Linked DNA regions of Oreochromis niloticus. The protein of the gene in region 3 purifies or fractionates together with the protein of the main gene of each other region. This does not show direct contact. Links are inferred from orthologs where the notes say so. Each region holds a gene or a part of one and is shown on either strand. Other genes may lie near its edges. The genes, in order: vamp3, snap47, stx12 and snap23.1.

The links.
Region 1: the proteins of stx12 (region 3) and vamp3 purify together in Homo sapiens (affinity purification with mass spectrometry; 3 studies listed by BioGRID and IntAct, counting the BioPlex papers as one, with this or other methods). This does not show direct contact. The link is inferred for Oreochromis niloticus from reciprocal best matches to the Homo sapiens genes STX12 and VAMP3.
Region 2: the proteins of stx12 (region 3) and snap47 purify together in Homo sapiens (co-immunoprecipitation; 3 studies listed by BioGRID and IntAct, counting the BioPlex papers as one, with this or other methods). This does not show direct contact. The link is inferred for Oreochromis niloticus from reciprocal best matches to the Homo sapiens genes STX12 and SNAP47.
Region 4: the proteins of stx12 (region 3) and snap23.1 purify together in Homo sapiens (affinity purification with mass spectrometry; 3 studies listed by BioGRID and IntAct, counting the BioPlex papers as one, with this or other methods). This does not show direct contact. The link is inferred for Oreochromis niloticus from reciprocal best matches to the Homo sapiens genes STX12 and SNAP23.

The regions. Positions count from the first base shown.
Region 1 is NC_031970.2:25,721,424-25,728,711, forward strand, and holds the start of vamp3 (vesicle-associated membrane protein 3), read right to left. Parts: upstream 3,005-7,288; 5' UTR 2,872-3,004; coding exon 2,870-2,871; intron 1-2,869. UniProt on the Homo sapiens protein: SNARE involved in vesicular transport from the late endosomes to the trans-Golgi network.
Region 2 is NC_031982.2:19,266,251-19,273,862, forward strand, and holds the start of snap47 (synaptosomal-associated protein 47), read right to left. Parts: upstream 3,016-7,612; 5' UTR 2,902-3,015; intron 2,530-2,901; exon of another isoform or gene 2,300-2,529; intron 2,168-2,299; 5' UTR 2,139-2,167; coding exon 1,642-2,138; intron 1,517-1,641; coding exon 1,008-1,516; intron 704-1,007; coding exon 579-703; intron 1-578. Other genes in the region: 2-oxoglutarate and iron-dependent oxygenase JMJD4, read left to right, coding at 3,016-3,268, 3,361-3,526, 3,612-3,737, 3,829-4,096, 5,270-5,416, 5,505-5,840; iba57 (putative transferase CAF17 homolog, mitochondrial), read right to left, coding at 6,344-6,735. UniProt on the Homo sapiens protein: Plays a role in intracellular membrane fusion.
Region 3 is NC_031985.2:38,176,190-38,183,107, forward strand, and holds the start of stx12 (syntaxin-12), read right to left. Parts: upstream 3,003-6,918; 5' UTR 2,846-3,002; intron 2,363-2,845; 5' UTR 2,330-2,362; coding exon 2,233-2,329; intron 798-2,232; coding exon 728-797; intron 550-727; coding exon 450-549; intron 1-449. Other genes in the region: si:ch211-57n23.4 (immunoglobulin superfamily DCC subclass member 3), read left to right, coding at 4,257-4,305. UniProt on the Homo sapiens protein: SNARE promoting fusion of transport vesicles with target membranes. Together with SNARE STX6, promotes movement of vesicles from endosomes to the cell membrane, and may therefore function in the endocytic recycling pathway.
Region 4 is NC_031983.2:19,368,586-19,375,804, forward strand, and holds the start of snap23.1 (synaptosome associated protein 23.1), read right to left. Parts: upstream 3,025-7,219; 5' UTR 2,830-3,024; coding exon 2,822-2,829; intron 1-2,821. UniProt on the Homo sapiens protein: Essential component of the high affinity receptor for the general membrane fusion machinery and an important regulator of transport vesicle docking and fusion.

The DNA.
Region 1 (7,288 bases), on a different chromosome or scaffold from region 3:
CAAACAAGCAAACTATTACAAACTGTAGATATAGATTTCCTGCAGCTCCTGCTAGTATCAAAACTACACTACAGCATCAGTGGTGGGCTTTGTTCTCTAATATGTAAAATGGCCTGAACTTACCCACAAGTACAGACATAAAATTAGCCTCAGATTCATGTAATATTCACCAGAGCCAATTGTGTTTGTACCATTGTGCACGTGACTGTTTCATAATAATTTTAAATTGATGGTTGCATGCTCACTATGTGCCATCTACATACAGCCCACTTTCCTGTAAATGAAAACACATTTTTCCTCAAAGAGGGTCATGGCAAGAGCTGTGACGCCATTTAAAAAAAAAAAGAGCATCTAATTTATGCACTTGGGAAAAAATAAAAATAAAAATGCTGGATCCCTTGGGTAACATTCTCTGGCTCAGTTAAAAACAAAGTGATGTCTAGCTAGGATACAATGAAGGTAGGTTTAATAAACAAATGCAGTAAACGCTCTTCTCTTTTGTTTGGTTTGGTCTTTGTATTAGTGAAGAGCAAGTGGGTAAAGAGTGGATTACTAAATGTGTGTTATGTTTAAACAAAAAAAAAAAAAAAAAAATTTGGTCAATACTTTTAATTGAACTCATTTTTATGTATTCAATTCTATGAGTTTCTATCTTTGACTTTTTTGGGAAAGACGTAAATAATGAATAAAAATCTATTATTGTTAATTAGTTTAGCAATGTGCATTGGTGTGCCTATGTTTAGGTTTATGTAGTTTTACATTTGTGTTTAGGTATAGCAACCTCTGCCATTGCTATACCCGATTCTCTTTCACGCCAGGGTTCACGTGAAGACTCTTTAGTTGAGCTATGTAGGTCTGATACCATGTCTACACATACCTCTTTTCTACTAATGCTGTGCATGTGCCTAATCTACAACCACAGAAATAAATACTGGTGCCAGTGCCAAAAAGCAGACACTCGCATGTCACCACTTTGCTGGTCCCAAATTGGGAACAAGTGATGATAGTGGCTTTTGAAGGTGTAACTAAAAAATTAACCAAATGCAGATGCAGCCTAGGATCTTCCGTCCACTATGATTTTCCTTTCCATTTCAATGAAACCAATTTAAGCTACAAGTTCTCAGTTCTGTTGTAATGTGCAATGGTTCTCAAAAGGCAGCAAGGCAGAGCTGGCTCAGCACTGCCTCAACACACCCATGTTCACCAATGCATTAGAATAAAAAGACAGGAATCAAGATGCAATTTAAGTCCCGCCTTTCAGCCTCAATTTAACTCACTGAACAAAATTTACAGATAAATTTTATTTTTGCTTTATTGTGTCATTTGAATTAAGTTCCCATTTGACCATATGTTGTGGATTCACAGCCACAGTTTCCAAATGCAAATGTTAGAGTTGCAAGCAATCAACTACCAACCATACTGCTGATTGAATGATGGAGAAATATTAAAACAACTTTGGAGTAAATTGTCCAGTTACATTTGAACCACTTCAAATAAAGGACTGAGTCCAGAAACTGTGATCGTGGTTAATTGAATGTTCTTGTTAACCCTCTCGCATTAATAGATTTATTTTATTTCAAATCCATTGTAAATCTACTATCCATACATTCCGGGACCTAAGTTTATATCATCATCACTGTTGTATCTATACTACTGAACCACTACCATCAAGTAACATCATGAAAGAGAGACTTTTATGGTTTAATCAAATCATCACTCAATTTCAGAAAGACATGCAAATTCTCTGCCAAGGATTTTTTTTTAATATGGACAAAAATAGTTGTGGAAATCTGTCTGTGATTCATTACAAAAACACCAAGTACACTGCCTCTATGTGCACTGTATAAAGAGCAAGTAGGAGAAATAATACACAACAATATAGCGCATGCCCACTTTTATGTAGTGAGACTCACATTTGTACCTTTTTTTAATAAATTAGTTCAAAAAGAAAAAAAGTTTCCTCTGTTGATGCTGTAAGGCAATACACCTTCCCAGAAAGTAAACACTCACGAAACACGTCTCTTACCTTGTTCTTTCATTACCCATAAGCTTCAAAGCGCCTACTAATACACATATTGACCGAGAAACACACAGAGTACAGTCCCTAACTGTGTCAACAAAGAAAAAAAAAAAAAACAGTAGATGCTGATGGGATGGAAATAACGTTAGATAACTTGCACCCCGTTGTCGGTAATGCCGTTATTACTGGAGTGGAAAGTATTCAGCTTAGATATAGTTTAACACTTATTTTAATTACCCAGTAATCAACATGATTACGACCTATTAAAAATAAAACACTTCGGCCATTAATACATTTCCTGTTTACAACTTTGGGTTGCCTTTGATTGTGTCTTGCTATTATTTTAGTCATATCCAAATTAGAAATCACAAAGGGACATACACAAACATTTTAAGATTTTTTTTTTTTTTTTTTTTAAACAAAGTATACAGGAGTAGCTTGTAGATAGGCCAACGACACAGGAAACGGTAGTTTCTAAGCATAGACTAAAACGCTAGCACATATCGTTGTCTAACAGTAAGATTTGTGTAACAGTAACAGCTGTGGCCTGTATACAAACCGATTGTGTACGCTCTTTCTTGACTACCTACATAACTAGCAAAGATAAGTTGGTATGACGAGGAGTGAGCAACGTTAGACAACTTTAATGCGGCGTTGCTGCTGTGGCTAAGCTAAGTTTAGCTAGCTCACGTCTCGAAGACGAGCACTAGCACTTGTTGCAGGGTAGTAGCAAAAGTTCTGGGCGTTGTTTTTGCGCCCGCGTCCTGAAGTATTACCAGAAAAAAAACGGAAGCGAGGTCATCAACATCTGACTGACAAGTAAAAATTTGTGGTATAGGATAGACTTACATTGTGAAACGAAATTTCCTCAAACGACACCGCTGGTGATTTTTGCCTGTGAGCTCACTGTCAAGCCGTAACAGTCCCAGCCGTACCAGCGGTTTTTGTGCCGCTTTCAAGGTTGCCGGAATTAGGAACAATCACACGTATTTAAATTTCACAAGGTAAACGCGTACTTTAATAAAAAAAAAAAAAAAAGAAAAGAAATCTCAGAAATTTCTTTTCAAATCGATATCGATACAATAATATGTGACAATAAATTTTAATAACCCATTTAGCCTGGTGACTAACCTTTAGTTGACTACATTTAGCATTTAAATCAAAAAATCAAAGAATTTTCCCTGCAAACTTACAGTAATTACATAAACTTTTACAGTACTAAATTATTTTAAAGAAATAAATTACAAAATTGGATCATACTATCTGGTAACTACTTTATTTGGTCAAAGTATGAGTTTGCGGTGAGCACGTGAAGGCAACATTAAAGAGGTCGTGGCTTATAGCTGCCGCATGCCTACCATTATTAACGCAAAATGTGAAAAGCAACGCACACTTCGCACACCTTAGTCAATAACCATTAAAGAGGTAACGCCTCAAATCAGTCTATTTTCACCTTTTATTTATTTAATTTCTATTTGCAAACTACAGTAGACAGGCAAGGAGCAGGCGACCACCCAAGCCCGTGATCAGCATGTGACTTATGAGAACAAAAACTCATCCCCATCCACACGTCATTAACAACCACTAACCACCAACAACTGAAAAAATAGGAGTACCGACACTTTCTTCATTCAAACTGTTAAAGAGAGTATATATGTGTGTGTACGCATGTATAGTAGATTTATATGAAACATTTAGAACAAATCGATCTTTAAGTGCTTCCTTAAACTGTAAAAACTGAACGCAGTCTGTTTTTGTGTCAGTCACTGAGTTGTATTATGTGGTTTAAGAGAGCAGGTGCTAATTCCCTAAAATGCTTTATTAATGGATTCATATCATACAAAACTAATGCAAAAACAATTCTGCAACAACACAACAGTGGCCTACACGAGTTTAATTTATGACAGAGTTTACCGAGTTTACTTCTGAAGGATAACAGCATTAAAAATTTACATTACACAGTGATCAAAATGCACAATGATATGTGTTTTGGGGTAATCAAAGGCCACAGGAAGGAAACAATAGCCTATAATTTACTTAGCAACAGAAATGATCCCATTACAGTTGTGTTCAGAAGTTTACATACACTCATCATGGGCATAAATGTCATGGTAATTTTGGGCTTCTAATGATTTTTTGAACTGGTCTTTCTCCAGGGTGAAATGATTGTACAGAATACATCTTTATTGAGTTTAAGAAAACTAGAACTGAGTGCATATGTTTGATTTGTTTGTTTTTTCTATAATCCACACAGGGTTAAAAGTATGCATACAGGCTGGAAGATGTCTGGAAGATGACCCAAACTATCACGGTCTGGGTGAGTCACGGTATTTTCTCCAGCAGCAGCTCTCCTCCTCTGGGTAGAGACTTGTTGCTCCTCCCTGGCTACCCACCTTTGGGCAATTACTCCAGCAGTATACAGGATCGACACACTCAATTAGTCCTCGCCAGATTATCTGCTAACCAATGTTAGTCTGTGGCCTCACATTCTTTCGATTAAACTGTAGTATGTGTACTTACCTTCCTCTCCTGTTTCATAGCCTGTTCTCAGAGCTCACATTTCACCCATTGCCATACTTGCTTACCTGGATCCTGGTCTCCAGCTGCTGGTAAAACCTCTCAGTCTAATTGCCATTCTCACCTGCCTGCCTCCCTGCGTTCCAGCGTCATGCTCCGTGCTCACCTGGATCTCAGACTCGCCCCTGCCCCCTCCTGCCTTTCTCCAACTCATGCGAATTTAAATTCATAGTCACAGTCTAGTTTGAGTTTGTTCCCTCCTTTCTGTAAATAAACATCTTTGTTAAACTTGCTACACGCCTCCAGTTTTGGAATCTGCACCTATGTCCATCTCTCTTCCTGGGCCGCTGAGCCATGACACACGGTCAGATGTGAGGAAATTGGTTAGGATGTTTTGAAGAACCCAGGAATCATGAAGGCTCAACCCTGCGATGGACTGGAAACTGCTTGAACACGAGCCTTACTGTCCACAGTGAAGTGAGTTTTACATCGCCTTGAACTGAGAAGATGCTAACCAAAACTGGCACCTTTAACCTTGTCTAAAAGTTGTGGATGCACACATGGACAAGTCAAATACCATTTGGAAAAAAATGTTTGGACCAAGGGGCAGGGAAAGATTCTTTACAGAGCTTGTACGCTGGGATTATCTGAAAGAGGCCTCTGTCCCTGAGATCTACAAATCCCACATCGTCATTCCACCTGCAGTCTATGGACTTTGCTACAAATGACAATGAGGTCACAGAACTATCAAGAACAAGTGAGCTTGTTAGGTTAGGGTAAAGACATGGAACCACCAAAGGGCAAGGATAAGGTTCCCAAGGAGACACCTGGACAGGGACTTGAACCCTGGACCCTCAGATTAAAAGTCTGATGCTCTTCCATCTGAGCTAGCCAGGTAACAAGAGCCACGTGTTTGTCCTCTGGGCCACATATTGTCTTTCTTTTCTGTAAAAATGTGAACGCTTATCCTCTCATTTTACTGTAGGTACTGGTGAGGATTTACAGTTAGATATTATTAAATGATCATTTCAGACAAGAGCCAAGGCAAGGATTTAATTCTAGGGGAAACATCGCTAGGCTGTATTACCACGTGTGACCACCCAACCTACAAAGCCCTAGGAAGTCAATGGTATAATGGGTGAGGACTGGGAGCGTCTGGAGGAGGACCTTCTTCAAATCCCACCTCCACTTGATGGACGTTTGCAAGCTGCACCATCTGTGTTTGTTTTCCCATTTGATGGGAATGATCCACGTAGTTGTAGGCCGTATAATGAAGTCCTACCAACAAACCCACCATGCCCTAGATGGTGACCAAAAGAGCTTTGCCGAAACCCAGGATCGAACTAGGGTCCTTTAGATCTTCAGTCTAACGCTCTCCCAGCTGAGCTATTTCGGCACATTTTGCAAAGGAAAGTGCTCAAAAATTGCATTGTAATGACCAGTCAGGTCTACAGCTGGCCAAACCGCACTACAGCTGACCCACTGAGACAGTGAATCAGTGTGAAGTGAACTTTTAAGCTTTGGATTTAACAGTGAACTGTCATGAACTTTGCTCTCTTAAATGTTGTCCCACCCAAAGTAAGATAGAAAAAAAGTTAAAGTGAGATTGGCATGTCTTGGACACCGGGTTTAGCAAAGGAGCTGAGCTGAGAACCAACTGGCGGTGAGTTGGACCAAGGGGCAGGGAAAGATTCTTTACAGAGCTTGTACGCTGGGATTATCTGAAAGAGGCCTCTGTCCCTGAGATCTACAAATCCCACATCGTCATTCCACCTGCAGTCTATGGACTTTGCTACAAATGACAATGAGGTCACAGAACTATCAAGAACAAGTGAGCTTGTTAGGTTAGGGTAAAGACATGGAACCACCAAAGGGCAAGGATAAGGTTCCCAAGGAGACACCTGGACAGGGACTTGAACCCTGGACCCTCAGATTAAAAGTCTGATGCTCTTCCATCTGAGCTAGCCAGGTAACAAGAGCCACGTGTTTGTCCTCTGGGCCACATATTGTCTTTCTTTTCTGTAAAAATGTGAACGCTTATCCTCTCATTTTACTGTAGGTACTGGTGAGGATTTACAGTTAGATATTATTAAATGATCATTTCAGACAAGAGCCAAGGCAAGGATTTAATTCTAGGGGAAACATCGCTAGGCTGTATTACCACCTGTGACCACCCAACCTACCAAGCCCTAGGTAAGTCAATGGTATAATGGGTGAGGACTGGGAGCGTCTGGAGGAGGACCTTCTTCAAATCCCACCTCCACTTGATGGACGTTTGCAAGCTGCACCATCTGTGTTTGTTTTCCCATTTGATGGGAATGATCCACGTAGTTGTAGGCCGTATAATGAAGTCCTACCAACAAACCCACCATGCCCTAGATGGTGACCAAAAGAGCTTTGCCGAAACCCAGGATCGAACTAGGGTCCTTTAGATCTTCAGTCTAACGCTCTCCCAGCTGAGCTATTTCGGCACATTTTGCAAAGGAAAGTGCTCAAAAATTGCATTGTAATGACCAGTCAGGTCTACAGCTGGCCAAACCGCACTACAGCTGACCCACTGAGACAGTGAATCAGTGTGAAGTGAACTTTTAAGCTTTGGATTTAACAGTGAACCGTCATGAACTTTGCTCTCTTAAATGTTGTCCCACCCAAAGTAAGATAGAAAAAAAGTTAAAGTGAGATTGGCATGTCTTGGACACCGGGTTTAGCAAAGGAGCTGAGCTGAGAACCAACTGGCGGTGAGTTGGACCA
Region 2 (7,612 bases), on a different chromosome or scaffold from region 3:
AAGTCACTCATTACCTTTGATCATTTAAACATTATATGATTAAACAAAGAGCAACTTTCTGAAAGTTTTACATGAAAAATCCTAGTCTAAGCAACCTGTAATAGCGATTCACACACACATAAAAAAAAAAAAAAAACCTTGCTCGAATCACGGGTCTGAATTTGCGTCACTGTGTAGGTCTTGCCACCACAGACCGTGTCTGTAACAGCATTCAGCGCTGTGAGGTTCTGAATGGAAAGACATTGTAGGTTCTGACCAAATAACTAACCGTGTTTCTTTTCCTCTCTTAAAACCAGGATGGACGTTGGTTTGTGGTCTCACCAAATAACATTTTAAACATACAGGATGAAAAATAAAAAAAAATCATTATGATGAATTGTGGTTTGGACTGGAAACATCAAAATACATGTTGCTGAGACTCTGGGATTATTTACAATAGCAGCTACCCCTATTTGAATCAATCTGTTCCCGGAGCACACTGGCTTTTCATTTGTGTTACTTGTCTTGTGAATACAAATATGAAACATTTTAAGGCCAGGGTAGTGTAGTCATAAATTTGGGAGTCCAGCTTTTCTCACCTGTTTGAGTTCCTGGGCCTCAGCCTGACTGACAGATGGCTGGAAAACATGCACCTGCAACTGGGACAGCTCTCCTGCGGGGACCTCCAGTGGGAGCTCTGTCTCTTGGCACGTCTGCAGTAAACCTGATTCCATGGGTGGAGATGGTGAAAAAGTGCAGAGTACATATGTTGTTTATGAGGAAACCAGACAGTAAACTCAGAGTACAGCAACTGAGGCAATCAGGGTGAAGTGACTCATCAAAATACATTTCTGTCAAGGAGACACCAATAACCATGATGAAATGTTTTTACATGTGGCTGCACACTTATAAATACACATAGGTGGAAATGCAGACCTTTACTGCCACTTAGTGGTCAAATCTATACTAGGCATGGAAACCACTGTGGAATAAGAGTGTCTTTATTTATTTTTTGATGTGTTCCTTACCTTCAGTCCAGCTTTTCCCTTCTGTGTCACGTGGCGATGAAACTGGAGTTGTCTTAAAATCTGTGTATTCGCTTGTGAACTCTATCTTCTTTTTGTACTGCATCTCTAACACGGACAAAGCCTCTGGCATCTTGGCGGACAGGAGCCTGTAACATATGTCTGGCTTCCCGATGAAACGCTGCCTGACGGTAATCTCATAGGGGCTGTGCACCCTGATTTCGTCAATTTCATTTCGCTCAAATCTGTGAAGGAGCTGGCAGTTTGTGTTTCGCACCTCCAGCGAGGACACTAGCACCAACAAACATCCAGGCTTCAAGTCCGATTCTCCACCTTTGGACAGCACTGCTGGGATGCTTGTGATTAACTTATTTCTGCTGGAGTACCTGGCTGCTGAAGAAGAAGCAGCAGCTGCAGCTCTCGCAGCATCCTCGGCCTTTGCATCCTGCTGGGTCTTCCAGGGGAGTTTACCAAATGGCCACCAGGAAGGAGACTCCAGTTCTGACAGAAGTCTGTAATACAGAGGCAGGAGGAACTTATGTTAGTCATAAATTAGGCCTTGTTATAGAGTTGGCCAAGCAATATGAACAAGACATGTGCAAGACTTCAATAACTAAAAATATCTTAAGATAGTTACTTGTCAGCCACGCCCAAGTCAGAGTCAATCTTCTCCAGGCCCTGCATCATATTGTCAAACTGCTCTCCCTGATGGCCGAGGACTCTGCCAGTGTCCTCCAATCTTTTCTGGGCCCCTGCCACCAGGCTGATAAGCTCTCTTCCCTTTGTAGGCTGAGCCTCAGCCCGCTGGGCTTCTGAGCTGGGAGAGAGAAGCCGCTCTCTCCAGAAATGCTCTAACACATTATAAACCACCACCCTGTTGGGCTTAAGGGAACCAAACCAATGTTTCACGTTGCCTTCTTCAAGTACTGTGAGAGTGCTGAAGATGAAACTAGATGACTCCATCTTGATCTCCACGATCCTCGAGAGACGGAAGCTGGCAAGACTCTCCTTGCTCTGGTTGGAGACGAAGCGCACCGTGGTTCTGGTGAGAGACAGGGTTCCGTTTTCCCACCGTTTCTCACTGTTGATGTAATAGGAGCCTGGCCAGCTGTGGATGGGAACGTCCCGGCTCATTGTGATTGAAGGAGATAAGACAGATTCACCTGTCAGGGGGACAAACAGGTATCAGTTTAACATGACAACAACATACACACAGGTACTGCTGCAGGTTAAGATGAAATTACATCAGAAGCACTTTGTACTGAGTGATCTACGAGTCGTGATGAAGAACATACTTTCTTTTGAGTGTAGTCCAGACAGCAAGATGAGCTCAGTCGAGGCGTTCACACTGGCAGCTTCAGCTCTCTAGCCAGCTGACCGCATTACGCGCGCGTCATTATAATGTTATAACCCTTTTAACGTGTTTTATATCCTCTCGGTGCAATTAAACCCACACCACATTAATCGTCAACACCGGGCTGGGCATTACGTTACCTCGTAGTCCTCTCAGTAACTTTCCTGTTTGTTGCGGAAGTGACGTCACGCTCGAGCACGGCTGTATTTACCGTCCGACTTGAAAAAAAAAAACTTGCTGTCAAAAAAAACGAAGCACTATTGCGAAAATGTCTGGCGAAAAATAATGACAGCGGCGGCGGTTTCGGCACTTTCCAAGCGATACGAAAAACATAACGTTAATATAAATATATTAAATATATATATGTATGTATCGTGACAAAATATAAATAGCAACGGTTTTATATGTGCGTCGTTCAGGAGTCCCAACATGCGCTAATGTGTAGCGGCTTGTCATATTGGAAAATTGCGTTTTTTCTTAGCTTAGTATCTTTTTCTAGCTTAACCTGATTTTCAAATGTGGCAGAAACGTGAGAATACGTACGCAGTGTAATGGCGAATTAGTCTTCCAGTTAGCTTTTCCCCTCACAGTTCCCCTGCTGTACAAACCCTGACAGCTGAGCTTGCTAAATAACTAGCCGAGGGCTTGTTTACCATCATGGATAGGGAGGCGTACCGTAACTGCAGCAGCCTGGTCAAAATACCAAGGCAGTCATATGAACAGTTTTGGTCTTCGCATTTTCTAGATTACATTGACAAGGAGCTTAGCTATTCCAAGTTTTTCAAGAAATATCTGCTCCCCAATCACCCTTGTATGTTTTCAAGGAGATTCACAGAGGAGTGGAAGTGTAGGAAACAGTGGGTGACTGGGGATGGGAAACCTAATTTCCAGAAATTGCTGCAAGAGTTTGGTAAAACAAACAAACAAACATGCATTACTTTGTAAATGTCTGCAAAGATATTCTGTAATCATTCTTAATAACTGTTACTGTTTCAATCACAGATGAGACTCCAGTCCCTGTTGCAAACTGCAATGCGAAGGAGTACAATGCCAACCCCAAACAAGTCATGCCTTTCAAAGAATTTATACACTACTGGAGGGAATACATCTTGAATGGACACTCATCACCCAAAGGATGCCTCTATCTTAAAGACTGGCACATGTCAAGGTATCACAGTAATATTAATCCAATGAAAAATGTTTACACAATTGTATGAAAAATGTGTAACTATCCTTTGTAAATTTCTCCACAGGGACTTTCCAGAACATAATGTTTACACCACACCAGTGTTCTTTACTTCTGACTGGCTCAATGAATACTGGGACACCCTTGAAGTGGATGACTACCGATTTGTCTACATGGGACCTAAAGGGTCATGGTATGAAAACATTATTTTAAAAAAACTAAACAAAACATAAGCTTACATAAAATGTTTCATGATCCGACCCAGTGCACTTTCTTGTTACCAGGACACCATTCCACTCTGATGTGTTCCGTTCATACAGTTGGTCTGCAAACATCTGTGGCAGGAAGAAGTGGCTCTTGTATCCTCCAGGTCAGGAGGAGTTTTTACGAGACACTCACGGCAACCTCCCTTATGATGTTACGTCAGCTGAACTTCGAGACAGAGGCCTTTTTCCACACGCTGAAGAAGCCTGCCAACCTCTTGAAATCATTCAGGAGGCAGGAGAAATCATTTTTGTGCCTAGTGGTTGGCATCATCAAGTTTATAATCTGGTAAGAGCTGTAGAGGCATATCTACTGTTGAACTAGAGGAAAATGGTCTGCCAAGTATTATAAAAGACAAGTTGCATTTCTTACTATGAGAAGTGTTCTGTTAGACTGAATGTAAACACCAGCCACAATGTTAGGTACACGTGTTCAGCTGCTTGTTAACACAATTATCTAACTCAGTGCATTAAGGCATGTAGACATGGTCAAAATGACCTGCTGAAGTTCATATTGAGTATCAGAATTAGGAAAAAAGGCCATTTAAGTGACTTTGAATGTGATTGTTTGTTCCATACCGGCTGGTCTGAGTATTTCAGAAACTTTTCCCAGCTTACAGAGAATGCTCTGAAAAACAGAAAATATCCAGTGAACGACAGTTCTCGATGAGGTAGCACTAGCAGCAATTCAATTAACCACTCGTTAGAAACAAGTTTTACAAGAATAGCACTTCTGAACTTAAAACATGTCAGACTTCGAAGTGAGTGGGCTACAGCAACAGAACACCATGCCTGGCCACTCCTTTGAGCTAAGAACAGGAAACTGAGCCTACACTTTGCACAGGCTAACTGGAAATGGGCAATTGAAGATTAGAACAATTTTGCCTGGTCTGTTGAGTCTCAATCTTCTGCAGAGAAATGCAACAGAGCATCTGTCAAATGTAGTACAATGGGAGATTTGCATTGTAGATGTGAAGCAAATGTGCAGTTCTGGTTTGTTTTAAGAGTTTTTTGTGTTTTCTGTGTGTGAACAGTGTAGACAGTAGAGCGCGAGGGCTAGCCTACAACTCAGGTGTCTAATAGTGTTCAGATCTCATCAGGAAAACGAATATTGATGAAAGGAAGTGATAAGTTCAGATGCCTACAAATCTAATGGACTGGATTACTTACTACTCACTAGATGACAAGAGCCCTAATAAATTTTTTTTCAAATTAGATTTTAAACAAAATTCATGTTTTGTTTAACATTACACACATGTACAGACACACTCATGTTTCAATACAGCAGCTCTGGTTTATCTCCTCCAGTCAACATATCTTTCATAAAGTTTAACCTTGTATATATTTTTTGGTAGAAATATGGCTTTTTGCAGGAAATTATGACATCACAGTTAATTTACGTTGTATAACACTGCGTTTTATTTATCACCAGTTTGACATATTAAAACATTGTTTCATACAGGAGGACACCATCTCCATTAATCATAACTGGCTGAATGGTTGCAACATTGACATCATGTGGCAGTTTCTTCAGACTGAACTGTCATCTGTTCAAAAAGAGATAGATGAGTGGAGAAACACAATGGACTCGTGGCATCAGCACTGCCAGGTACAATGCATGGAACATTTCAGTCATGTCATTTAAATGTGCTTCTGCTCTGATCATAATAGCAATTGCTGGGTGTGTTTCCTTTTAGGTAATTATGAAGGCTTGCTCCGGTATCAATTATGGAGAATTTGCCTCGTTTTTGAAAATCATTGCCAACAACAGAATGGCTTTCCTTAACGCTTGCTCCTCTGGGGATCCCTCCGATTACTCACGTCATCTCTCAGAGATCCTCACCACGCTGGGACCTTACCACGCGGCCTTTGACCTACAAAGAGTAGCTCATATAATCGAATGCCTCCTGTGCAATGAAGACTTTAAGCGACTCGATCACTCAACATTGACTCTGCAGCCAGAAACAATGTTACAGCAAATTCGTGACACCATACAGTCCACAAGAGGGCAGCATCTCCTTTATCAGGAGTAATGTGTTCAGCCTCTCACCATTGTTATCGCCTGGAAATAGCTTGAATGAAAAGTGCCCGTTTGCAAAAGTGCAAAAAAAAAAAGATGATTACATCTGTTACCGCATCTTTGGGTTGAGATGAACTGCAATCTCAAATATTGCTTGTGAATGTCTTGCATTTGTTTTTGCACTGACAGATTAAATACATAAAAAAATCTGAGTTTTCTCTTTTAAATATTTATTGAATAATCACCAACACTATTTGTGTCCAGTATGAACCAAGCTGCGATAAATCTATAATAGTGCATAGTTAAGTGGTAAATAATACTTAAACAAAAAATCCAAAACACACACAAACTTGGGCTTTATTGCAAAAAAAAAAAAAAGATACCCAAACATGGACTAGTGCCACACAGCTGTTAAGCAATGACAGTGTAACATACTGTACTTGAGGGTTATGTCTATGAGAAGTCTGTCAGATGTGATGCATGTCATTTTTAGGGAGCTTTAAAACATCATTCCCTTCAGTTACATTTCGCATCTTCAGGCCACCAGTCTGGCACAGAGGCTTCGAGTGTCACTGTAGTGTCATCAGAAGATCTGAGCGTCAACACCTCTTTGGCGTGCGCCATGCGGATCAGACTTAGACCCAGTTCTCCTGTCCCTGCTCTGTGCTTCCCAGCTGGCTTGCCTGACTGGGTTAGCAGTGCCGTTCCTTCCTCGAGGTGTTCCACTGGAGATGACAAGCGTACTGGCATCAGGCGTTTTCGAATCACACCAGTGTGATGAGTCCTGGCTGTGAGTTCCTGGCCAATGTAACAGCCCTTGCTAAAGCTGATACCCTGCATGTAGACAAGATTGGACTCTAGTGGAAATGCAACCCCAGGAGGAAGGTCTTTGACTCCCTCAGGTAGACCTAGACAACGAAAACAGCAAAGGACACAAACACGCGTCATAAAATTAGAGTACTTTTTCAGACGAATAAAAGCTTCTCAGACCCACCCCCTCCTCCTTTTCTGTCTCTGCTTATCTGTCTGTTTGTTAGCAGTCTAGCATCCACAGCTTTCAAGATATCATGTTTAAATTTTGTGTGATGGTAGATTCAATACCATCTCGAGCTGATTTTAATTTTGGTGAGAATACAGTAAAGGTCACACCAAAACTAAAAATCAGCAAAAACTTTATATTATCCCCAATTTTTTATAGATCATTGTCAAACTTCGCAACAATATTCCAGGTCTTGGGGGACACTGAGGTTGGCTAAGCATTTGACCTCAACCTTCATTTCTCATAGCCCAAGGTCAAAGTTGACCTAGAAAAGAAACTGGAAATAAAAAACCCATAGAGTATAACATATCATATGAAAGTGCATGGAGAGAGCTGCACGATACTTTATTTTTTCAATACAACACCCTACGACCTCACAACAAAATCAGAAGGTTTTGCAAAATCACCCACTGCATGAATTTATCTTCAAGTCTCAGGATCTAGCTTATAGAAGCGAAAGATTTCAGCCAATTCTGCTCTAATCAAATGGGTAAAGATCAATCATTCCATTATCTTATTCTTCTTATGTTTTTTTTTCTAGAGCCTATCCCAGCTACGATAGGGCGAGAGGCAGTAAGTAAGTAAAATTTATTTATATAGCGCTTTTTAAACAGGAAGTTTTTTCAAAGTGCTTCACATGGGAATAAAAGCATAACAAATGAAACAATAAAAATGGTATAAAAAAGGTATAAAAGCATATCAATCGATACAATAAACACTATAAATAGGGTAAAATAGCATATCGA
Region 3 (6,918 bases):
CTGATTTTGAAAGCAAAAATATCTCAGCTGTATGTGTCCATTTGTTAAGCTAAACTCTGCAGTTGTCTCAAAGTAATTTTTCCTTCACCACACATGAAATGTCAACGAATGATGACATACTGTACACACTGTGTCCTGAGTGTGTGTGTGTGTGTGTGTCCTGAGCCACAATGTTGGCTGAATGAAATTCCAATTAAACCAAGTGGGTCTGTCAGCATCACTCAGCCTGTGCTGTAAGAACAGGCTCCATAGTCACACTTTCAAACTTAGTGTGCATATTTATCTTACAGTTTGACATCATCCATTGTTAGGTGGCTGTAGCTCAGGAGGAGGAGCAGTGGGAACTTTGGATGGGTGAATGAGGCATGTTGTAGAAAGTGCTGTGACTGTAAGCTATAGAAGAATCAGTACAGTGCTACTTTCATTAGGACATGTAAACGAGTACTTACTTGCTCTGAAGGCGATGAGGGCAGAGGGATTGATCCCAGCTCTTTCAGGTGTTTGTTGGTTTCTTTTGCCAGTTGGTTGGTGTAGTGTTGTGTCTGCTGCCTGTGAACACCAACAGTTCAAACAGCAGACAGACCATAAGACCTTCTAATAATTACACAAATACATTTCTTATAGGACAGTTCAACAGAGTCGCTACAGCGTGGCAGCGCTGGCTCTGAGAAAGTGAAGGTGACTGAAAGTGTGTTTGTTTAGCAGAGGAGATGATATCGGTACATACAGCCGATCCTGCAGTTCACTGGTGTCCTGTCTGGTCCCCAGCTGGTTCACCATGGTCTTTATCTGAGCCGCTGCCATGGGAACACAATGATAGCACTCAGTTTTGGAAGAAAAATATACAAGTGACACAAGAAAGAAGCTGCACTTTGTTCCTGGTAGTTATACAGAGATGACATCATCTGTAGTCATCACAGTTTGATGCTGCTTCTTAATGTTCACATTTGTGTCAGACACGTGTGTTTGCTATGAGCCATCATCATCATCATCATCATCATCAGTGTGACCTGAAACAGAAGCTGAGGGATTTCAGAACATACACATAAACAACGATATAAGGAAGTGAAAAGTACCCAGTGATGATCTGGCTGTTGTGTTCAATCGCTTGTACAGTTTTTCAGGTGTATCTGGGTGATTCTGTGTTTGTATTTGTTGTCCTGGCCGGGTCACTGCTTAAAGCCTCTCACAGAAAGGACACGCCTTAATTTGAGAAACTGTTCATTTTTCGCTTGTGTGCAGACTTTGTGGGTAAACAGGTCATACAATTTATTGCTTGCAATACTTTTGTAAATCTTTCCCAAAAATATTACAATCAACATGCAGTCGGACATTGTGGGCATGAACATGTATTCATATTCAATGAAAATCCTGCTGCAGCTTTCACATATGACTCAGTCCACACCCTGTTAAAGGCGACAGGAAGTGTCGAGGAAGGTGCCACTTTTTTACTTGAGTTATAATCTGTTTACACAGTGGCAATAAAGAAAAAAAGCCTCGAACACTTGATGAAGTGCTCTAGGAGAGGGCCTAATGAAGCTGGATGAGAGAATAACGTATGTGAGGCTGTTACAGGTAAATAAGCTCCTTTGAAACTCAACACAAATCCAGCTTTGGTGTCATTCTTTCTCACAACATAAATATTGTGTCATAGTTTGGATGTCTTAACAGTGTTACACACTGGAGAGAACACTAATAGAAATTTCTGCTACTGCACAGTACTGTGGAAAAAGCTGAAGTGAAAGCCACAATAGTAAACCAATAAAACAACAAACAACTGTAACAAACACGTGAGCTGTAAGAACAAGAAAATCTTTGGTCTAAAAACAAGTTGGCATTTAAAAAGCCTCGAGCAGGGGTGTCAAACGTATGGCCCGTGGGCCACATCTGTACACGGACACACAGCTGGAAATGTCACAGATTCTGAATCTGCAGGTTTCATGTCTCACTGACCAAAATTATCTGAACCAGCAGCAAAAGAAGACGTTTGGAAAACACTGTCATTAATTTTGTCTCACCTTCGCTGTGTCGGTTGCACCATGATAAAAATAATGGTATTCTCTGCACAGCTCTGGCTCTCAGCGTGCTCGGAGACCAGTTATTTATGCTTTTTTACTACTACAGTTAAACACCCCCCACCTCAGAAACACCGGTCTTCTTATATGGGACCCTTTCGCTGTTACAGAGTACAGCCACATCACACTGCCGTTTCAAAGGAAGTGAAGCACTTACTGTTCTGTGTGATCTTCTGGATGTTGGAGCTGCATGTCTGTATCAGGGTGCCGAAGTCCCGTGGGACCGAGCGGCTCTCTGCTTTACCATAGGACATGTTTGTGATGGAGCCTTGGACCTTAAGCTTTGGCTGCAGAGAAAAAGAGAGGGATCAGAAAGCACCGATTCGGTTTCACTGTATGACAGCTCCTCGGTGCGGTTCTGGGGTTTGTACAGCTGCATGTCTCAAAGTCCGGGTACAGTTATTGACGGCAGACCGGAGCTGAAAATAATGGCACTTAGTCGGAACAACAGCTGTTAGCTTGCTAACGAGTTAGCTAGTTTATCTGGGCGTGTGCCAGCCGACGCGCAGCCATATTTGGGAACGTAAGCTCTTATTAATTTGGTGTGTTCCTAAATCACCAAGCCAGCGACCTCGTCGGGCTTTTTCTGTTTATCTCCCGGGTGTTGCAGGCTGCTGGACGGGCTCGGCTCCTCGCTTCCTAGCTTCGGGACACTAATCTGTCAGCTGTTGGTTGTTTCCGGTAACACAGTGTGATGAATAAGACAAAGAAACAACATGGCGTCGCTGAGGCTGGCGTTTACCGTGGAAAAGAAACCAGCCCATACTTACTTATGAAGCTGTCTGAAACGAACACATAGGTTGGTAAAGCTTCTCGTCCTGTAGTAAATACGCTGCTCTTCCTGGTCCGTGATATCACTGCGTCACTTCTTCTTCTTCTTGGCATTTATTGGAGGTTGCAAACAGCGAAATGGTGCATTAGCGCCACCAACTGGAGTGGAGTGTGGCCCAAACTTTCCCTCATCAAGCAAATTAGTCTGTCTTAACTACTTAAGTAAAGAATGGTGTACTTTTGCCACCTCTGCTAAACCACCCATCATAGTAGGGCTCACTACAAATAACCCCTCCACCCACTCCACCCGCCTGCACTCTCTTCTTCACCTCTCTTGTGCGCTGTCTGTTGCTGTGGATGGTTGACCTGAGGTATTTAAACCACCTTCACTCCCTGTATTTCTTGATTGTTCACCTGTCTCCCTCTCACCCACACAAGTATTCTGTCTTGCTTCTACTGACTTTCATTCCTCTTCTCTCCAGAACAAACAGTTATCTGTTCAACTTAAATGTTTCATATCACCAAACAAATGTTAATGTCAGACAAGTATAAGTAGACTAAATACAGCACACTATTTTTAAATACTGGCCTACCATAATTACTCATGAAAGGAACAAACACCAGGCCTCACTTGCCTCAGCTTAGGTGTTTGTTTCATGTTTTCACAAGTTCAGCTGAATTCAGTCCAGTTTTATTTATACAGTGCCAAATCTCAACAGCATGATGAAATGCAGAGTGGTCTATAAACACATGAAAAAGGTAAGTGAAGAAGAAACACTCATGGAAAGCCCTAATGACCTATTGCAGCATAGCTAAGGAATATTTCGATGTAACCCTCCTGAATCCAAACTGGATTTCCTGTGAATCCAGAGTATTTTCCACTTGGATTCTTTATGCCTGGTGGAAGTATCCCAGGATCACAACTCCAGCCAGCCTGCGAGGGGTTTCGGGCTCAGGCCACAGCTGGTCCATCAGGCAGCGGCCAACCAGAAGACCTCTCTTTAAATGATTATCAATCATGGCTCCCGGGCTGAGCTACCACCCTTATGTTGCTCTGGGGCTGTGATTGGTTGGTAGGACGCAAACCTGCCACAAACCTCTGTGTCAGTGTCCATTCACTGACAACAATGAAGCAGAATAACTAATGAGCTCTGTCCACACTGAGGTCTCTTCCTCGCTCGATGCTCAGAGCAGCTTTGAACATGAACCTTGTGGAGGCTGAATGCTGAGAAGGACAGAAGAGGAGCAATGATCTGACACAGAAAGTGTCCGTTTATGCTGTCCTACCAAAGAAGACACGCAGCAGGAGAGCACAGAAGAAACTGGCTGTCCGTTTGACTTTTTTCCTCTTTTGGATTTTGGGGTTTTGCGGGTTGAGAAGCTTTAACAGCGAGGACGCTGGAGACCAAAATGAAACTAGTAACCTTCCTCAGCTGGCTCACAGCCTTCTACAGTTTCAGTAAGTAGACCTCGCCTTCACCTGCACTGGCAGATATTCACACATTATGGTGTGATTGCTGCTCTGTCCTCCTATGAGTTTCTAGACTGATATTAGTTCAGTTCAGTGTTGATTAATGGGCAGAACATTTTGTCATTTGATAAACAAAACTACTCCTCGGTAAGTGCTGCTGTTTGTTTGTCCTTAAGTTTCATAAAGACCAGGCCTCGTGTGTTTTGACCTGCACAGGCTGCAGGTGGACATGAGTTTTGTCTTGTTTGTACGTGTACACGAGAGTCACACGGTGTAGAAACAGAATTATCCCACTCAAAGCTGGTGAGTGTGGAAGTGAGTTCATCCAAAAGAGCAACAGCATTTTATAAAACATCACAATATTAATAACCTTTATTTCTCACTGCAGATGTTTATCCATCTCTTACTCTGACACCATGTGCAGATCTCACTGACAGTGAATATCTTTATCGTTTTGGAACAAGAGCCCAGCCTGTCTGACGATAATATACCGATGATATAACTAAACCTGTTTCAGACTTGATGTAAATTCAGTGACCATTATTCCAATTTTCCTCCCACCCACACATTTTCAATGCTGATGGTTCAGCGTTGAATGGATATTAGTTTGGTGGGGGTGGGGGTGAATTATTGGGGTTCCTCTCCACTCTACGGAGTAATATGGGTGGTGACTGTTAATATTCCACAAACAAACATTAGCCTAAGCAAGGCTCTTTGTATTCACAGCACATACATTTCACATAACTGTATTTCTACACATTCAAAATAGGATTTCAAATAAAACTGAAAATCTAAAAGAAAAAATGCAGTTTTCATTTATATTTAGGTCATGATGTAGTAACCCCGCCGAGCGAGCAGCAGAGCTGGAGACAGAAAAAGTTTGTTTTTGGGAAAAGCACAGCAGGTTTAAAACAGTTTGTTTTCTGTCCTTAACTCAGAGCACAGAATGAGCTGAGAGTCAGTGACCTCTGACCCTGTGGAGGGGGTCGGCTTTCAGGGTCACCAGAGAAGTCTGTGGGGGTGCTCAGTCTTCACTGACCTCACCCTTACACCTTCATCTCCATAACACTGCAGCAGTCTGTGCTCACATTGAGCCTTTATTAAAGATATGTGACTATAAGGTAATCCTCCTCCAGCTGCCTGTGACCATGCCCTCCACCACCCTCCCCCTCACGCTCCTCCGTTCATCCCACTGGTTTAATCCACAACAATGGGTCTCCGGTGGCTCTGTTTCCTGCAGTGAAACATACAAAAGCTAACATCTCAATCTGTGGAGAGCTCAGGCTAATGTTTACAGCACCACAGTGTGCCCTGCCACCGTGAACGAATGCCTTCATGGGCCCAGTTACTCTCATTTACTAGTTGGCCTGTTAATTGTTTTACATATTTCTATGCTGGAAGAGTATCACAGCTGTGCCACTTAGTATCAGAGACAGCAGATAAAACGCTGCAAAGCCGTCTTTCAGCTTCAGCATCGCTGTTTGAGAAGGTGTAGCTGTGAAACACGGTGCTGCTTGTAACGAGCACAGAGGTCAGACAAACTCTTTCTACCAGCAGGTCGTGTATCTGTGCATGATGACATGAAACAGGATCACAGTCAGCTTCATTTACAGCTTCAGTTAAAAGCCTGTCTGACTTTGGACCATAATAAGGTTTTAAAAAGCTTCGGTCCCTCGTCTCTGTCGCGCTGCTCCTGGATCAGACCTGCTGCTGATGTTTTCAGCACAGATGATGGATTTCACAGGTACCCCTCATTATACAGTTAATCCTCCCTTTCACAGTAAAATATCTCTTCCTGTCTGAAAACACAATTATTTTGGAAGATATCCACCGATGTGATTGAATGAAGCTGCTGAAGCTGAAACACGTCACTGCATTCCAGTTTCTGTTTGTTTGTGTCATGTTTATAACACGAAGCAGGACAACTAGGAGATTCAGCTTCCTGAGTATTTCAAGTCTCCTGATTTCAAATTAAAGAATGCATTTATTTTATAGAGATGCATCATCATCATCATCATCATGTAGGCTTCAGTCTGACTGTGGATGAGCACTGTTGTGTTGGAATAAACAAAGCTTACTGCAGCCTTCATGTGTGAACACAAACCTTATCAAATGTGACTACAAGCTGAAGCTTATTGATTGACTTCCTATTAAAAATCGACCCCTTGAATGCAGAGCCCCCAGGCCAAGAGGCCAGGATCAGGCTGCACATAGGTAACCTCAGCAGGTTAAGAAATATGTAGATAATCTGATGCTAACTTTGAAATCCACTGTACTGTTTAGACAGTTTTCATGTCACATAAATGTACACTGAGTGGAGTTTAAGGACTCCACTGAGGTCTCGTTATGCGAGAACATTTTGATTCACGACCTCGACATCGATCCTCACTTGGTTAAATGTTGTGAGGCTGTTTTGCTGAACTGTGGAAACACTTACTCTGTGATCATACTCTTTAGCTGCCTCCTCTGCTCGTTTAAGTCTTCCGGTGTTGCTGATTTTGGTAAATGGTCCTTATATCTCACTTTGGTACTTCAGCACTCAAAGCTCTTACTACACCACGTGTCATTCACACAGACTCACCCTCTGACTCAGTGATGGAC
Region 4 (7,219 bases), on a different chromosome or scaffold from region 3:
GATATCAAGGCCACACTTCTCGTTCACCAGTCATTATCAAAACAAACCAATGGTTTCCGACTTTTTTTCCCCCCGACCTTTTAACCAAAGCCTGTTGAATAGGAGAAGTGGAAACCTGACATTTTCAGGTATCAAAATGATGTTGCTTGCAGATACTGCATATATTGTGCTTACAGATGTGTGCTTATAGAGATTACAACTCATTAAATGTTAGGTCTACTTTGTTTCCTGTCTTGTTTGTAGATAAATCTACCAGAAAAACTGTGATAAGTTGTGGTGGAAAGTTTCCTCACATTGACAAGCCGCTACGAAGTTATCAAATCTGATTTGAGAAAATTTTTTAGAGCAGTGAACCATAAATGTAGAACAATTAATGCTTTAAAAATAATTAAGGATAAATGAATCCCTGCGTTAAGGTTTGGAAAGACCACAAAAAAAAAAAGAAAAAAAAAAGGAGGCTCAGCATTTTACATTACTAAAAATAGAGGATGCATTTAAAAGGTTAAGCATTTAAATGTGCAATCAATGTTCACCTTGTTTGTATCACTCATATGGAGAGGGAAAGAAAAGATGCAAAATCCAAACAAATCAGGCTCTTTTCCTTCCCCTGAAGGAGTGTTGTGAGTCTGGACAGAGCAGGCTTACTGATAAAGCATGTAAAGCTTAGCAGTGGGATGGCTAGTAGAATCATGTATGCCAACAATGAGGGAACTTGGATATGGAGCTTGTGATATGGAAATCAGAGGCGTGAGACTGGATAGTGACAACTGGCTGGAAAAACACTTATCATGCCTGCCTACTATACATAAATGCGAATTGAAATCACTGGTTATTGTTAGACATTTCAAGGTTGCAGATCAATTAAATAACCAGTAAAAGTGTATAAAAACAGATGAAATAAAGTCCTTTAGGAATATTCAGATGTTTAAGATGGTATTTACATTTGTTAACTTATTTGACTACAACTAAGTGATGAGCTTGTGATTTTCTTCGGAATTTTCAAAATGCAGTCAGTCTCAAAGCTACTTTCAACACAGAACTGTGAAAATGAAGTGCATAAATACCTAAAACATAACTGTTATGCTACATTAGAATAATTATATAACAGCAGATGCGCTCTATGGTTGGTTTAACACGAAACTAATGACAAAATGTGATTATAAGATAACAGGCTGTGCACTCACTAGTATCTTTATGGTCAGCATATGTACTGAAACACTAAATCAACTTAATTAGCAGAAGAGTATAACATCCATAAAATCCATGTCCTGTCATATATCCATAAAAAAGGTGCCTTGTAATGTGAATCAAACAACTTTCTTTCCTCTGTGTTAAACACTGAATTCTCAAGAAGCTTCATTGTCAGTTACCCAGTCACCAAAAACTGCTAATGCCTGAGAACAAAGTGACACACATAGCGGTTTTACTACTATAATCTTGGATGTGATTAACTCCCAGAGCTGATCACATCAGGACGCACAAGTCCATGTTTGCCAGCTCAGTGCATGCTCTGTTCAGATCAACATTCAGATTTCATGATCATGCACAATTTGTAAAAACAGCAGGCTAGGCATGAGGCAGCATCATCAAGAAGCTGTGAACAGCAGCAGGAAGAGCTGACCGTGTCTAGCAACTAAAACCCAGAAAGTGTGAAAACTGTCTGTTTTTTGTGCCCTCTGTAGTTTTCAAACAATGCAGAGCATGAATAGTTCAGTCAAAATAAGACAGATGAAAACAGATCAGAAGAAAATGCTTATGTTTGTTAGAGATCTAAAAACAGGATACATGAGGAACAAGCCTTTGCTGCTGTCTGCCAAATTGTATTGTGCATTTCAATGCAATTCATTTAGAGGAACAAAGTGTGTTAATTGTTGCAGTTATAATTCGGATCACATAATGACTGATGTTACCTCGTGCAGGAGTTTAGCAGATACAAATCCAATCTAAACAAAATTACTTTGTCAGGTGACCTTCATGCAGTCTTGTATCATGGGATAGGCTAAAAATGACTGGCGTAATGGCCTCAGACAAGCTTTGGTGAACAAGGCAACATTAGATAAAGCTCATCATAAGCAAAGAATTAAGCTTGTTTTCCTATCACTGTACTGTCAAGGGCAGAAGCAGTAAACTATAAAAACAAAGCTGAATCATTTACTCCAAGGCTAGAGTTTTTAGATGCAAACACTGCTCCCCCCCGCATTTTCCCTGTCATCTGCTTTTCCTTGTTAACGTCCAAGTGGCATTTTCCTGTTTTGCAAATAACCCCTGAACTACAACTTCCCTTTCAAACCTGCAGCCACTAAACATCCTGAGGGGGAAAGAAAAAAAAAGAAAGAAAAAAAAAAAACATGGATAGTCTACTTGGCAGACAGTGCAGAGGATTTAATGTTGTTGACTCTGCTTTTTCCCCTTTTTTGGACAAGAGTGCACTTTATTCACTCAGGCTTCACTGCCTTTTCTGACCGATTATTGGACTTGGCAAGACACTGATGTGACTTTACAACTATAACTATGAAGGTGGACTCATTTACACACGTACACTCTTTAGATAGCCACGACGAGGGCAGATGAACATGTCAGCGATAAAGAACGAAATGTGATAGTAAAAGCAGAGTTTTTTTAAACTGATAGCAATTTTTCTCCGTGTTTAGCCACATATGTGACTAGATTTACCAAATATATGACTTAGATATTACATTTCGCTTGTTTGCACCCCAAACTACGTACCCAACCCTTAAATTCGTTCCACAGTTAATATAACCAGAAAGATGTTAGTTCAGAGGAACAAAGGAAATAATACAACCGAGGCTAAAGAACATACCTATTCATGTTGCAGTTTCTTCACTTGACCAAGCACGAGTGGCAAACACCACACAGGGAAATGCGTTTCTTGTTCTTCTACCCAAACCTGTTCCTCCAGATTTGACTGGAGCACAGGTGGCGTCTTATTCCAATCACGTTGAACACATATCCTCATTTCACTCTTGATGTTTTATTTTCTTTAAACAATCAGACAGAAGCTATTGTTCAACGATTTGTTCTTACAGGCTGTCTTGAATAAAGACAACCTATTTATTTTGCCGAGGAGGAAGGTGTGTCATGTTTTGGGTAGGAGGGTTGACTAATAACAAACAAGGGGACCTATGACATCATACCAGACAAGCAAAGCCTAAACTGTGACATTTGATTCCACTATTTATATACGACAAAAGCAGGTTTTCCTGACTATCAAGACAGAAGACACTGAGGAAAATACGACATGTGGTTAATGATTCCTGCTGTAACACGTATCCACACACCTGACTGTGGTTAACTGCCAAGTGGCCACGTAACGTGGGTCACTTGATAAACAGGTGACGTTAGCCTGAATGAGAAACAAACCAAAAGTATTACAAGAAACCCCCGTAGTTTCAGGCAGTGTCCCACACCCAGTACACCATCGCTGGGGCCGAGAGGTTTCCAAAACAACACTTCTTAAACTTAATGAAAAAGTTACAAAAGAGGGAAAGACAAGTGTCAAACAGTTTATCAAAGCGAATTAAACTTGTCTTACATTGTCTGAAAACTTGCAGTGGTGCTCAGCTATCGCAAAGAGGGTAAAATCCGAGAGGGTAACTTCGTAAACTGGCTAATGTGCTGGCTAGCCTGCTAGTTAGCTAGTTCCGCTTTCTTGTCAACTACCTAACGCTAACACTCAAACAACTGTGTTGAGAGGAAAGTATAGGTAGATATTTATTAAGGGAGTAAATACTTACAGTTAACCCTCCTTGTTTTTTTTTGAAAAGATGACCTGAAAACTCCTCCTTCTTGACGGTATGTGAACTTGGCACTGGCAACTCCCGAATTCCTTCACTGGTTCCGCTGTCTGTCCGAAGATGGTGCTTTCATATGCTGTCGGAAATATGAAAACTCAAAACTTTCAACGATTTTGAGGCGCACTTCAACTTCACATAAAGGACCTTGCATCCCACGGTCACCCAGAACGATTTGAGGCACGGCATGCATTACTTCTCTTCCTATAGGTTTAACAATCTAAAACTGAAAAAGTAGTCTGGTTCTCAGGTAGTCAACTTTACACGAAAAGTTGACTTAAATATAACTGTGAAACTACTTGTGTTTTTCGTCTGTGTTTATCTTTTAGCTGCTGTATACTGATTTAACAAAATCATGAGACAATACAACTTGTGTGAAGTTACTTGGCTTCCACTTAAGATTAGTGTTTCTTTCTTGCTAATCAATTTTCTTTGTGGCCTTACTGTGCATCAAACTGCGACTCATAGAGAAGTGAGCGTTCCGTTAGCATTGAACGCAACACTTAATGATGCGCATGTCCTGTCATATGACTCCACAGAGGAAAAAGAAGAAAAAAAAGCGCTGCTCATTTTCCCCACATGAGTGCAGCATTTACCCTTCACCTGGACCTACCCCCCTCACCCCCGTCGCCCCCCCCTCTTCTGGGTATTTTACATGAAGACACACTGTTGGATATTTTTCATAGTGTTTCTAAGCGATGCTCTGAAATCCGAGCCTCAAGCAAAGAATCTGCTGTGTAATTCCCCAAGTTTTATGGTTTAAACCACAAAAGCCTTTTCAAGGTGACTGCAAAGACACCGGGCAGAGTGCCAGCCACAATATCAGCTGACAGTGTCTAAAAGGCAAGTTTTATTTTTCTCTCTAACTGGAGCTAAATATTTTCCCTGTTGGGTCACCTATAGCTAAATATGTACAAGCTGAAAAGCCTGTAATAGCTCCAAATTTGCACAAGGGATGCTCCAACGCTGCCCTCACCAAACTGGCCATGGTGCCTGAATGATTCTTAGCTCTCTCTGCCCATGTATCTTTTATAGAGTCTACATAGCATGCATTATTCAGCAATAACACACGGCCCATCTGGACTCCTGCAAATGTGTTTGTGCATGTGTCTATGTAAGGGTGTGGGGGTCCATAGTTAACTTTCTTGCTGTGCCATTTCACCATTTCACGCCACATCCAACAGTGCCTGAAGAGCTGAAATTATTTCTTCTGTAATTACAAGTAAGGTATAATGTGTGTGTGTGTGTGTGTGTGTGAGAGAGAGAGAGAGAGAGAGAGAGGAAGGTAAGGGCAAAGAATAGAAAGAGAAATATATTAGGTGAATGTGTAATAGTGACTGCAGATGGCACATTGAGGAACAAGCTCTTTCATCATCCTGTTCCTCATTAATAGAGATGGGAGTGCTGCCCTAATTCCATAATTCCTAAATCATGCTAGTTAGTTGAGTATGAGGAGACAAAAATACAAGGGAGAGAGAAGAATAGATTAGCCTATACCCTAATAATGTGTTTGAGAGCGCAAGGAAGCATCAGAAGAGGAGATGAAGGGGGAAAGGGAAAGAGGGGGGAGAAAAATGGAGATCGCCATCTGTATTTCCTCGGTTGCTTTTTGATTGTTGCCAAAACTAACATCATATAGGCCAAGTTTATTCTCGCCAACTTTTGTCCCATGTGTATGGCAGCCAGTGAAAATAGATAAAATAATCAAGTGATTAATTAGATCTGGAAGAGAATACATGGGGATATAAAAGAGCGTGTCTGAGCATGTGTGTCAGTGACATAGCCCTGATTTCTTGTTTCTCGTGATTTCAAGGAGCACATCTGTTCATTTCTGGCGCCGCTCCAGTTGGATCGTACATCCATCTTTCCTCGCACAAGGACCGAGACGTGGGAATGTTTCAAGGCCTTGCTTGATCGGGCTTAATTTAACATTAGGCTAATTCCGCTGATACCTGATACTTGTCAGGACAACGAATTGGCTGACCAAGCGTGCATCTCAATATTCAGAGATAATTTCATTCCCTCGTCTCCTTTTCACTGCAATCTACTCTTTCTCCATTTGAATTGAGCTCTCATGTGAAGCAATTTGAAGGAAACTAGAGACATCGATAGCCATTAGCCCGCTTTGCACAGGAGGGCCAAACATGGAAAGCCAAGGCTCATCTATTATTCATGTGCCTCAGTTTTCCCCCAAAACAACATTTCTGATATTCTTTTTACATCTCGCTGCCAAAAGCGACAAGTCAGTAGTTTCAAATAACGCTTTTAAAACAAAGCTGATGAATGTTTCAAGCTAGCACTAGCCCTTACAAACCCCAAAAGGAAAAGTTCCTATTGTATGTCTGGCTGTTTATGTCCGGATATGGGGAAAACCTAACGAGCTTAAGGAGGAAAGCAAACATTTCATCTTCACTTGTTAAACATTAAACTTTCTTGTTAGATCAGTCCAGCTGCAGAGACAGTGGAATGGTCACAATCTTCCTCCTCCAACCAGTAAGCATTACATCCATGTTTGTACAGACTTGACCTTTGACCTTTCAAACTCAAATGTTTATGCTTTTAGACATTTGTTAGTGTGTGGATTCTTGATTTATAGGCCAAAAGGTCTAGGAAGGGGTACAAAATAAATGTAGGGTAATAAATTGATGAATTCTACAACAATTCTTTTTACTTAGAAAACTAATTCTCATTGATTTACTTTTTGCTTTCTTTTAAACAGTTTAACAGTTAACACTTACTTAAATGACACCTTGTGTAAAGGGAAAATCATCATCAATGTTGGTGAAAATTAAAACAAGTCATAAACAAACGCTCAAAGTTTCCACTCAATTCCAGCTTATAATGTTATAGAATTTAAAGACAGTCTAAAAATAGAAGTAAAATATTAAGACACACTGTTGTGAAATATTAGGGACTTGAGATAACCCCCTACTGAGATAAACAGCTGTAGACAGTTGGTCAGATGCCATAAAACCAGTGTAGAAGAAGACATCATAAACAGATGGTGCAATTAAAAAGAGCAAATTTCAAGTGAATTTTGTTTGTTTCATGTATTATTTCTTTAATCTATTTTAATGTAATTTAACTCCTTCTTGAGCCACCTATCTGAACATTTACCCACTCCAAGTGTTGGTCTCGTTTAAAGCTTGAGTGTAATATTTCAGCTTCAGTTTGCATTCTCATTCATTTCCACCTTTAAAAAAAGAAGGCAAGTGCACAAAAATGCACTTAGAAATACTTGAAATCTATCTGGACACAGCTTTGTGTATAGAGGAGGTCTTTCTTCTATCTGTGTTTTGCAAAATCAGAAATCTAGTGGAGTATTTTCCTTCTAAAATGTAATGCAGTTTAGACCATGGAGATACAGTAAAGTGCAAGTGCAGTCAGTACATGAGATCTCCTTTTAT